Mus musculus: one gene and its partners. The main gene of each other region encodes a partner of the protein of the gene in region 3 in a complex. Links are inferred from orthologs where the notes say so. Each region holds a gene or a part of one and is shown on either strand. Other genes may lie near its edges.

Region 1 (3,500 bases), on a different chromosome or scaffold from region 3:
CCAAGTGCTGGGATTACAGGCGTGCGCCACCACTGCCCGGCCTGTCACTTAGTTTTAAAGTAATAAAGGAAGATACATGTCAGTGTAGTGGGAAGACCACCAATTTTACATTACTAGATTTAGATTTCAGTGCTTATTGGGGGTGAAGAGGTGGCTCTGTGGTGAAGTGCACTAAATCCAGTATACTCCTCTTTGCTCAGTGGGTACCAGGCACACACATGGTGCACACACACACATGCAGGTAAAATAGCCACGTACATAAAGTTAAAATTAATTCCAACTGGGAATTAGAGAGGTAGCTTAAGAGTTACACTGGCTGCTCCTCCATAGGATCAAGGGCTGATTCCCAGCACCCATGTAGGTAGGGGTCACAAATTTGATAACTTCAGTTCCAGGGGATCTGACATCCTATCTGGCCTCAGTGGACACTACTTTTTCTTTGGATACAAAGACATATATGTAGGCAAAACACTTGGACACATGAAAAAGATATAAATATTAGCTATGGTATAGCTTATTCTTTGCAAAATAGTAACTGTCTCTCTACATGACAAAGCAATTAATTGCATTGCTTTGTTAAAATGAGAGTCTTTTCCAAATTCCAAAACACTGAACAAAAGTCATTGTCTCTGGTTATCTTAAAAGACAATTTTCAGGTCAGGTCGAGGTGACACATGCTATTAATCCCAGTACAGGATTCAAATTTCTGAGTATGAGACCAGACTGGTCTGTAGAGAGAGTTCTAGGACAGCTAGAACTATCTCAAAAGATAATTTGGAAACAAAAGTTTGTTTAATGATTAACCTTGTTTTTTTTTTCTCCTGCAGGTGATTATGGGAGTGCTATTGAAACATTGGTAACAGCAATTTCTTTAATTAAACAATCCAAAGTCTCTGCAGATGATCGTTGCAAAGTTCTTATTAGCTCTCTGCAGGATTGCCTTCATGGAATCGAGTCCAAGTCCTATGGGTCTGGATCCAGGTAAAATGTTCCTGTCTCATGAATTTTTAAAACTGTTAGTTAACACACAAACACACACACACACACACACACACACGCGCGCGCGCGCGCGCGCAACTTCTAAAAAAATAGAACTGTGATTTTATTTACTGTGTACCTAGCAGTATTTAAAAAAAAAAAAAAAAAAAAAAACTCTGAATGATATATTGAAATCCCGAGACGCAAGGAACTCTGTCTTCTCTTTACTCTTAAACATCTGTGTACATTCAAGCACACTGCGTGATGTCATCTCTCCTTTGATTCTCATAACTCCCATACTTACTTACTGTTCCCTAGCCAAATGAGCCCTTCTCCTGGACACATCAAGCATTTGGCCACTTTACTGAGTTTTATGCTTGATATTCCTTCTTGGAACCACTTTTCTTGTTGTTTTCTTCTCCCCCAACATTTACTTGCCTCTGTATTTCTTCATGTTTTAATATAATATAGTCTGCAGAGTCTATTTCTTTTGTAGTATTTGCTATAACTGTCTATTCATTATTGATGCCCATTTCTTAGTGAACACATGTTGAACAAGGTAGGGGCTTTAGTAGTTAAACACTGCTTTATATAAGAGACAGGGTGATTTTGAAAGAGGGAGTTATGAATGAGTGGTAATTTTGTAATAGGTGCAGTTTTACTTTAGATTTGTTTAATGTATGTATCAGTGGTTTGCGAGCAAACATGGATGTATTTCTCTGGTACCTAAGGAAGTCAGAAGAGAGCATTCATTGAGTCCCCTCAAACACTGGATTGTAAGCCATCATGTGGGCACCAGGACCCTGGTCCTCTGAACCACTGAGCTATCTTTTCAGACCCTGTAATAGATACTATGTTTTTGTTTGTGTGTTTTTAAGATGCGTTTATTTTATATATATGAGCACAAAGTTGCTCTCTTCAGACACCCAAAGAGGGCATGGGATTCCATTGCAGATGGTTGTGAGCCACCATGTGGTTGCTACGAATTGAAGTCAGGACCTCTGGAAGAGCAGTCAGTGCTCTTAACCACTGAGCCATCACTCTAGCCCCTAGATACTGTTTTTTAAGCGTTACTTTTAAAAGCATTTTTACCAATTGTGAAATTTTATATATTTTGTGAGGTAAATGGTTAATCTTTACATGATATTACTTCTTTTGAGACAGGGTCTCACTATGTAGATGAGGCTAGCCTTGAACTTACAGAGAGATCAGCCTGGTTATCCATTCTTACACAGCTACATTTTGACTATTTTGATTTCATATGTGGAGGTGTTTTGCCTGCATTTCTGGCTATAAATCACCCATGCTAGGTGCCCACAAAGGCTAGAAAAGTGCCTTGGGTTCCCCAGAACTAAAGTTAGAGGTAGGTATGAGCCACTATTTGGATGCTGAGAATTGAACATGAGTTCTTTGGAAGAGCAGCCAATATTTATAACCCTTGAGCCATCTCTCCAGTTTCCCAAATGATGGTCTTCTGTCTGCCCTTAGTATGCTTTTCCTGGAGGTAGTATCCTAAGTAAGAGTAAGGAGTTCACCCGGGACACAGGTTTTACTTTGTTAGTTCCGGTTTGGTTTAGTGTAAGTATCTCTGAACAAATTTGTTGTAACTAGAGATTATGTCATGCATTGTCTTCATTGTGGGAACATCTAGCTCGAGCAAGACGCTTAGCACTTAATGTTTAAGTTCAGTTGCCTGGTTTAGCAATTAACATGATAATAATTTTTTTTTTTTTCTCGAGACAGGGTTTCTCTGCATAACCCTGGAACTCACTTTGTAGACCAGGCTAGCCTTAAATTCAAAAATCCACCTGCCTCTGCTTCCCAAGTGCCTAGGATTAAAGGCGTGCGCCACCACTGCCGGCTTTTTTTTTTTTTTTAAATAAATTCTTATTTAAACGAATGGAATTATTATGAGGTTTGACTATGATTTTTGGGCTTTTAAGATGTGATGATAAAATTTGCATAAATTTATTTTTTTCTTCATTGTTTCGTGGGTTCTTATTGTAAACCTTAGCAATTTCAACATGACTTTTTTTTTTTTTTTCCATTTAAAGAAACAACAATGTCCACATTGTCAGCATCACTACTCTCCTACTTTGGTGCAATTATTAAATAATCCAAGAATTATTTAAGCATAAGCACTGAACTGCCATGATACTTAAGACTACTGAATACTTAATGGGCAAATAACATTTAGTGTGGGTGCAGTGGGCCGAGGGATGGCTCCCAATGCGGGCAGGAAGGAGCAAGGTGACTAAAGTATTTCATCATGATGGTTGGCTCAGTCTAGGTGGTCTGGGTCCTGGATACATGACTAGGGGCTGCAAGGGAATGAAGAAAGGGCAGACACACTTAGATACAGACAGAATCAGGGGTCTGCTACTCCTGCAACTTGGAACTTCGTGGATGGGTGCAGTCAGCTAGTCTAGATAGGAGGTCTCTCTAGAGTACCAGTTGCTGTTGGAAAAACCTCCCAGAGGAAGTCGCTTCTTTCGTTCTTTCTGCACACCGATCTTTTCTTC
Region 2 (3,500 bases), on a different chromosome or scaffold from region 3:
AGTTTGAAGACTCCATTATCAATCCCTCATCTTTTAGGACTCGGAGTTCAACAATACAGATCAGATTGACCTATATGATGATGTGTTGACGGCTGCCTCACAGCCCTCAGATGACAGAAGCAGTAGCACGGAACCACCCCCTCCTGTTCGCCAGGAGCCAGCTCCCAAACCAAACAACAAGACCCCTGCAATTCTGTATACATACAGTGGCCTGCGGAGTCGGCGAGCAGCTGTCTATGTAGGCAGCTTCTCCTGGGTAAGCAAGGATAACCAAAAATCTCAAGGGTGGGCTGGAGGGAGAGCACTGGGAGGTGATGGCATTTTCAGAAACCACTGTTGCACTGTTTTGTGCTCTGATGGGGTTGGATTTCTTTTTCCTGGGATCAGGTTGGATTGATCTCTGAAAGAGAACTATCCTGAGGACGTACTGGTGCCGAAGAAAGCATTGATTAAGTGGGTAGTTGCCTTTTCTGCCATCTTATTACTGCCCCTGACCCTGGGGCTTTATGTCTAGCAGGGTCATCTATGGGACGAGATATCAGAGTGAACACCTTGAACTCTTGGTGGTCATTAGATGGTCCTGTGATAATGGTGGGTGATGGGGATCAAAGACCTTGATAGCTGTAGTGTATTTGGGATATGTGCTGACAATTCTGTAAAAGTTAACAGTGTGAGATGTTTTGGGGCTGGTGGGGGGAGGGTGCCAAATCAGGAAATGTATATGCTGATGGGAATATTCCTGGCATGGTCAACTCTAGCCTGTCAGATCTGTAATTAAAGTTGTTAGCAATCTGTTTGAAATGATGAACAACCAGCTCACATGTCAGTCAAAATTAAAATAAATTTTAGTCTTAATCCCCAAACATAGGGGTTGTGGGATTAGATGTGTTTAATGTGTAGGACAATAAGAAAAGCCTGCACTGATTGAAATATTGCTGGGTTTTGGGGTTTCCTGTGGGTGGTCATGGTTGTGGCTGGAGTCCTAGATTTGAGAACAGGACTTGGAATGTCTGGGTGGGTGGGTAACAGGCATGTAGCTCTTGACATTTCTCCCTTTTCCATCTTGCCGGCCCCAGTGGACCACAGACCAGCAGCTGATCCAGGTTATCCGCTCTATAGGAGTCTATGATGTGGTGGAGTTGAAATTTGCAGAGAATCGTGCAAATGGCCAGTCTAAAGGGTGAGATCTAGAACTGGGGAGCCCCTTTGAGTTTGTAACTATTAGGGTGACAAATCTATTATGTTTGAACTTGCATTCTAACCCCATTCCACCCTGGCCTAGCTTACTACCTTGGTTTTGACAAACTGCCAAAGATTTGGGACCTAGCTGGAATGAAATTGAACATCCATCTGTTGAAGGGAAAGAATGTTAATTTTAAATTCCAAAAAGTAAGGAAAAAACAGGAAATCTATAGGGTGGCATCTTGTTGTTGCTGATAGGGAGTGGGGTGTGGGGGTGGAGGGATGTTTAAAGAATTTAGCAAGATGCCTTTTCCTTTCTTTGTCCAGGGTCTAAATATTTTATTATTCTTTTACTTTGTTCCTTAAGATATGCTGAGGTGGTGGTAGCCTCTGAAAATTCTGTCCACAAACTGCTGGAACTCTTACCAGGAAAAGTTCTTAATGGAGAAAAAGTAGATGTGAGGCCGGCCACCCGGCAGAACTTGTCACAGTTTGAGGCTCAGGCTCGGAAACGTGAGTGCGTCCGAGTCCCAAGAGGGGGTACGTGGAGACCATCTGTATGAAGGGGGGAAGTTGTGGGCTTGCTGCTGTGATGTGGAGGATTTGGGGCAAGGGTGCTTGCTGTTGGTTATGGTTTGGTGGCACAATTAGTGGGTGGGCCTAAGAATGAGATGTGTGTAAAGAGGACAGTGCTGGGAGTCAGGTTCAGGTTGTCCGTTCTGCCCTTGACTCTTTTCCTTTTGGCCTTTTGAACAATTCAGTTCACTTCTTGGGACCTCTTTCCCATCTGAACTAAGAAACGATTAAAGTTCCTATCACTGGTCAATTCTGTATTCTTCCATAAATGGACACACCATGAATGGGCTTGCTTTTTAAGTTGTGGATCTCAAAAAGCAGACACCCTAAAGTGTAATTAAGGTATACAAAGGCAGCTGTGATCCTATCATGAGTATATATTTGGTGTACTTTGTAAAAATCAACCATAAGAAGTATTAGGTAATAAAAGTTGTGTTGTTTCTCCATTGTTGTCCTAGAGAAAAGAAAATACTTCTAGTTATTGAATACTTAGTTGGCCTGGCAAGTATGTCACATTAGTTTTTCTTTAAAATGCGGCATTCTGATATCTTGTTCCCTTCAGTTCATCTGACTCCCTTTAATCTCAGTATGTTCATCAATCTCTTACTACCTTAGTCTCCTACTAAGGCTCTCCTCCTGAGAAGAGGGTGCACTGATCAGCTGACAGGTATTCTAGTTTGCTTGGCAGTAAATACTTGTCATTATCAACTAATAAATTAGTATTTTGGTTTGTGTATCGAGTTGGATGGCATAATTCAGTCTCTGAGGGTCTGCTTATTCCCTGATGAATTACTAAAATCAGATTTCTAACCCTGAGGACCAATTTTGGCTTATCCTGACTTCACAAGGTACAGCTACCCTGCAAGGGCCTGCCTGAAACAATCAGCCTCATTTTCTTTCACTACCAGAGAATGGGTGGTAGCAGAAGTATTTCATCACATACCTGCTGTCACTACTTTGTACCTAGCTCTAAAACAGTAGTTCCTTGTGTTGATGGGGTATGTCCTTCCTGAGGAAATAGAACCTCTTTAATGGAAACAACTGCCCTTGTGTTGACAGCCTAGATGGATGAGGTATGTTCTATAATTGCCCTGGGCTAAAAGGCACACACTTAGCTTCCTTGACAACTCAACATTTTCCCATCCCTTCTGTTTAATAGTATTTGTATTCAGCCCTCTCCTGGTTTCCCCAAGATACATCTCTTTACAGCTACATTGAGAGTAGTGTACCTCTTCTCAGCTTTCTTTGTGCATGTTACTTTTCTTCACTGAAAAGAATAAAGTGAAGAATGTGTATTTATTTGAAAATAGGAAACAAGTTTAAGAGTTAAATATGTTGTAAGCACTGAGGATCCTAGATGAGAGCATCCATTGACATACAAGACTTAAGAGTTCTGTTTACTTTTTGGAGTTGTCTTAACCAAAATACTTCTGATCTTTCTTCTGAGACCAATGGAAAGGCCCCAGATGATTAGTTTCTTCTCTCTTAGTTGCTTCACCTGTATTCTTTTATGTGGTACCAGACTTGCTGAGAGATGAGCTGGTCCTATTGCTATATCCAGAGCTTGCCTGGGCAGTAACATTAGCTCTGTTTGCTTTATAGGAATACCTCCACGGGCCCACTCCCGAGACTCTAGTGATTCTGCTGATGGACGGGCAACCCCCTCTGAGAATCTTGTACCCTCATCTGCTCGTGTGGATAAGCCCCCCAGCGTGTTGCCCTACTTTAACCGTCCTCCTTCA
Region 3 (3,500 bases):
GTGACAAAACATTTCAGTGTGCACTTTATCCTGAATAAAAGGATTTGGTGTTCTTATTAACAAGCCGCAGCCACTATGCCATGCAGATTCTGAGCTATTCTAATTCAACTAGGCTGCCAATACCCAGCCAAATGGTCTTTTGTCTGAATCTCGCCCTAGCTTAGTCTGGTCCATGTGTGTCCTCATGGCCCTGGTTGCTCTCTCCACCTTCTTCCTTCTCTCTCTCCTTTTGAGACCACATACTGGGATCAGAAGTCCTGCCCTATTCTCTTCTGCCCAGCTGATTGGCAGATCAGCTCTTTATTAACGCATCAGAGGTAATGGAAACCAGTTTTTACATAACATTGAGACTGAAGGTACTTGGCCATGCCATTGTCAGGACTGTAACCAGGTGTCTGGGCATAGAAATCAGCATCTGAGAAGACAGTGCACAAAACCTTCTCCAACCGTGGGAGCTGGAGATTGAATTTAGGTCCTCATGTTTGCTTGACAAGTACTTTACTATCTTCCCAGGCCTATATCAAGGGGTTTTTGGTAGATGAAATACTTTGGGATTAGCCATGTTCAGTCAAAATATTCTTACTGGGGAAAAAAACTATATTCAAGGGGTTGCAAGGTAGACTGTGGTACAGTGTAAATATGGATTTGATCTTTACTAAGCAAGATGAAGTCTGACACCTTAAGTCACAGTTTGGGTTCTCTTACACAAGGCTCAGAGGGAAAGAGAAAACAGGTCTAAGCCACTGGTACTACATGACCTTAATCCCAGCATTTGGGAGGGAGAGGCAGGTGGGTCTCAGTGTTAAAGGCCAACCTGATAAATAAGTGAGTTCCAGGTCAGCTCTATGAAAAAACAAGCAGCCAAAAACTGAAGAAGTAAAGTTGATCCAAAAAAGGAACTAGAAAAATTTGACTATTTGTTAACTGGGAGGAACAGAGAATAATTGGCACCACCAGTGAGGTGGCTCTAAGGATGGGGGTGCTTGCTGCTAAGACTGTTGATGTGAGTTCAGTTCCCCAGAAGCCACATGGTGAAAGGAGAGCACAGACACACATTGTAGAACACCATACATATATGTGTACAAACACTCATTTTTAAAGATATTAAAAGGCAAGCAACTAGAGAGCTGCTGATAGACAGTGGTGGCTCAGCACATAGGAGAAAACAGATTAGCTGTTAGTACAGGTTGGTTAATAGAAGTTGTAACTAGATTAGTCAGAGGAACCAGGCTGCTACTTCTGGTATCAGTGCCATGAAATGATCTAAAGCCAGTATAGATAAACACTTGGCTAAGCATTTCAGGGACCTTAGGGCAGTGTTGTCTGTGACTGAGGAATGGAAGAGCTGGGTTCAGGAATCAGGCAGCAGCAGTACCCTGCTCTCTGCTCTCTCATAGCTGCTTACGAAGCTTTGACTGGTCTGGCACAGTGTAGTTTTGTATGTGTTTGTATGGTTTCTGTATGTGTTGTTTTGAACTGTCCTGGTAAGTAAATAAGAGCATTGGTTCTCATGCTAATGTTTGTATTTGGCTCACAGGTACCCGCTTACCAATTATACTTTTGGTACAAAGGAGCCCCTCTATGAGAAGGACAGCTCTGTTGCAGCCAGATTTCAGCGCATGAGGGAGGAATTTGATAAGATTGGGATGAGAAGGACTGTAGAAGGGGTTCTGATTGTTCATGAACACCGCCTGCCCCACGTGCTCCTGCTGCAGCTGGGGACAACTTTCTTCAAATTGTAAGTAGTGTTAGAAATAACAGCAGGACAACGTGTAAAAAATGACTGTTTTAATGCAGCTTAAAATAAAAGTCTAACCTTTATTTATTTAAACCAGTACCATGAATGAGTCTTTGAAGAAAAGACTTTTCTCCAGTACAATGCTTATTTCCTTTCCATAGAGCTACATTAGGCCAAACTCGATTTCTCAAAGTGATGGGACTATTACTGAATTCAGTTGTTTTCATGTAGCTTAATCACTTGAGCTTATGACTCTAAATATTTACTTGCCCACTGGTCAGATTGTGCCAAAAAGAAAGGCCTTGCCGGGTGGTGCTGGTGCACGCCTTTAATCTCAGCACTCGGGAGGCAGAGGCAGGCGGATTTCTGAGTTCCAGGACAGCCAGGGCTACACAGAGAAACCCTGTCTTGAAAAACAAACAAACAAACAAACAAACAAACAAACAAACAAAAAAAAGAGAGAAAGAAAGGCCTCAAAACTAAATTGATAGTCTTGAAAAATGTCCCATTCGGGACTACAGAGATGGCTCAGTGGTTAAGAGCACTGACTGCTCTTCTGAAGGTCCTCAGTTGAATTCCTAGCAACCACATGGTGGCTCACAACCATCTGTAATGAGATCTGATGGGGGACCAGAGATTCAATTCCCAGCAACCACAAGATGGCTCACAACCATATGTACATCTACAGTGTACTCATATACATAAAATAAATAAATAATTCTTAAAAAAAAGAAAATGTCCCCATTCTTCAGATCTAAGAATGCAGTCTGTTCTCTGGGTATTTGTTTGCTAAACTCCATTAAATCTAGCTTTCCTTTGAGGAGGCTGACATGGATTGTTGGCCAGTGATTGTGCTCATTATATATACACTAGTTTTGCTGTTTAAACTTAGGATTGTATACAGTGGTCTGGTACTTAATATTATAGATTCAACTTCCCAGCACAGCCTCCACCTTTGGCCCTTGTTTTGATGGCTTATCAGATGTCACTGGAATGTGTCTTCTCAGTTACCCGATTGAAGTGATGATAGTTGTGTTCTTGCTGTTATCCCCAAATTGTATTCAATTGTAACGTGAACTTGTTAACTTTTACAGACCTGGTGGGGAACTTAACCCAGGAGAAGATGAAGTTGAAGGACTAAAACGCTTAATGACAGAGGTATTTTTCTGTTTAACCACTTTCACAATTCTATTGCCCATCTGAATACTATCTACTTAATAAATAATCAAATTCTCATGTGTCTTGTAGAAATAAATTTAATTTGAGCAGTTTTTAGTCAGTAAGTAGAACTTAAATCTGAATTAGTATAAATTGTTTTCTGGAAAATAAATATGTCTGAGATCTTAAGCTGAGATCAAAGGATTATCTTGTTCAAGACCATTTAGGTTACATAGTGAGTTCTAGGCCAGCTGGGCCACACAGAGTGAGACCCAATTGCTAAATAAACTAAAATGTCGATGAAACAATAATGCTCAGGTGCCGCTTTGGTAGCGGTTTCCGAGGAAAGCTACTCACGTTTCCTCTGGTTCTTCTGAAAACTACCAAAACGTCAGGAGAAAGGTCATTTTTTTTTTTTAAAGGTATAAAATTCAGTAGTGTTTATGGAATGCAAAAATGAGACCTTAACAAAAAGATGAAGTCATAACTAAGCGAGAGCCAGAAGGCTGTGGAGCACACCACAGCAGACTCAGCAGAAATGGAGCTCAGCAGGATGTCCGTCAGAAACGCAGCGGAGAAGAACGGAGAGGCTGAGGGATTGCCC

What was found. The genes of interacting proteins can lie anywhere in the genome.
Region 1: the proteins of Nudt21 (region 3) and Cpsf6 are in contact, whole or in part, in a crystal structure (PDB 3P5T), measured with the Homo sapiens proteins. The link is inferred for Mus musculus from reciprocal best matches to the Homo sapiens genes NUDT21 and CPSF6. Residues at the interface, in NP_008937.1 of Homo sapiens: Pro151, Asn152, Glu154, Pro156, Tyr158, Tyr160, Pro162, Ala163, His164, Ile165, Thr166, Lys167; in NP_008938.2 of Homo sapiens: Trp90, Trp91, Thr92, Thr93, Asp94, Glu95, Lys113, Phe114, Glu116, Asn117, Arg118, Ala119, Asn120, Gly121, Gln122, Ser123.
Region 2: the proteins of Nudt21 (region 3) and Cpsf7 are in contact, whole or in part, in a crystal structure (PDB 3N9U), measured with the Homo sapiens proteins. The link is inferred for Mus musculus from reciprocal best matches to the Homo sapiens genes NUDT21 and CPSF7. Residues at the interface, in NP_008937.1 of Homo sapiens: Arg68, Asn152, Glu154, Pro156, Tyr158, Tyr160, Pro162, Ala163, His164, Ile165, Thr166, Lys167; in NP_001129512.1 of Homo sapiens: Trp91, Trp92, Thr93, Thr94, Asp95, Gln96, Glu112, Lys114, Phe115, Glu117, Asn118, Arg119, Ala120, Asn121, Gly122, Gln123, Ser124.

What each region holds. Positions count from the first base shown.
Region 1 is NC_000076.6:117,356,474-117,359,973, reverse strand, and holds part of Cpsf6 (cleavage and polyadenylation specificity factor subunit 6), read left to right. Parts: intron 1-827; coding exon 828-981; intron 982-3,500. UniProt on the Homo sapiens protein: Component of the cleavage factor Im (CFIm) complex that functions as an activator of the pre-mRNA 3'-end cleavage and polyadenylation processing required for the maturation of pre-mRNA into functional mRNAs.
Region 2 is NC_000085.6:10,531,744-10,535,243, forward strand, and holds part of Cpsf7 (cleavage and polyadenylation specificity factor subunit 7), read left to right. Parts: intron 1-37; coding exon 38-256; intron 257-387; exon of another isoform or gene 388-525; coding exon of another isoform or gene 526-591; intron 592-1,076; coding exon 1,077-1,180; intron 1,181-1,549; coding exon 1,550-1,722; intron 1,723-3,360; coding exon 3,361-3,500.
Region 3 is NC_000074.6:94,030,540-94,034,039, reverse strand, and holds part of Nudt21 (cleavage and polyadenylation specificity factor subunit 5), read left to right. Parts: intron 1-1,537; coding exon 1,538-1,738; intron 1,739-2,832; coding exon 2,833-2,896; intron 2,897-3,500. UniProt on the Homo sapiens protein: Component of the cleavage factor Im (CFIm) complex that functions as an activator of the pre-mRNA 3'-end cleavage and polyadenylation processing required for the maturation of pre-mRNA into functional mRNAs.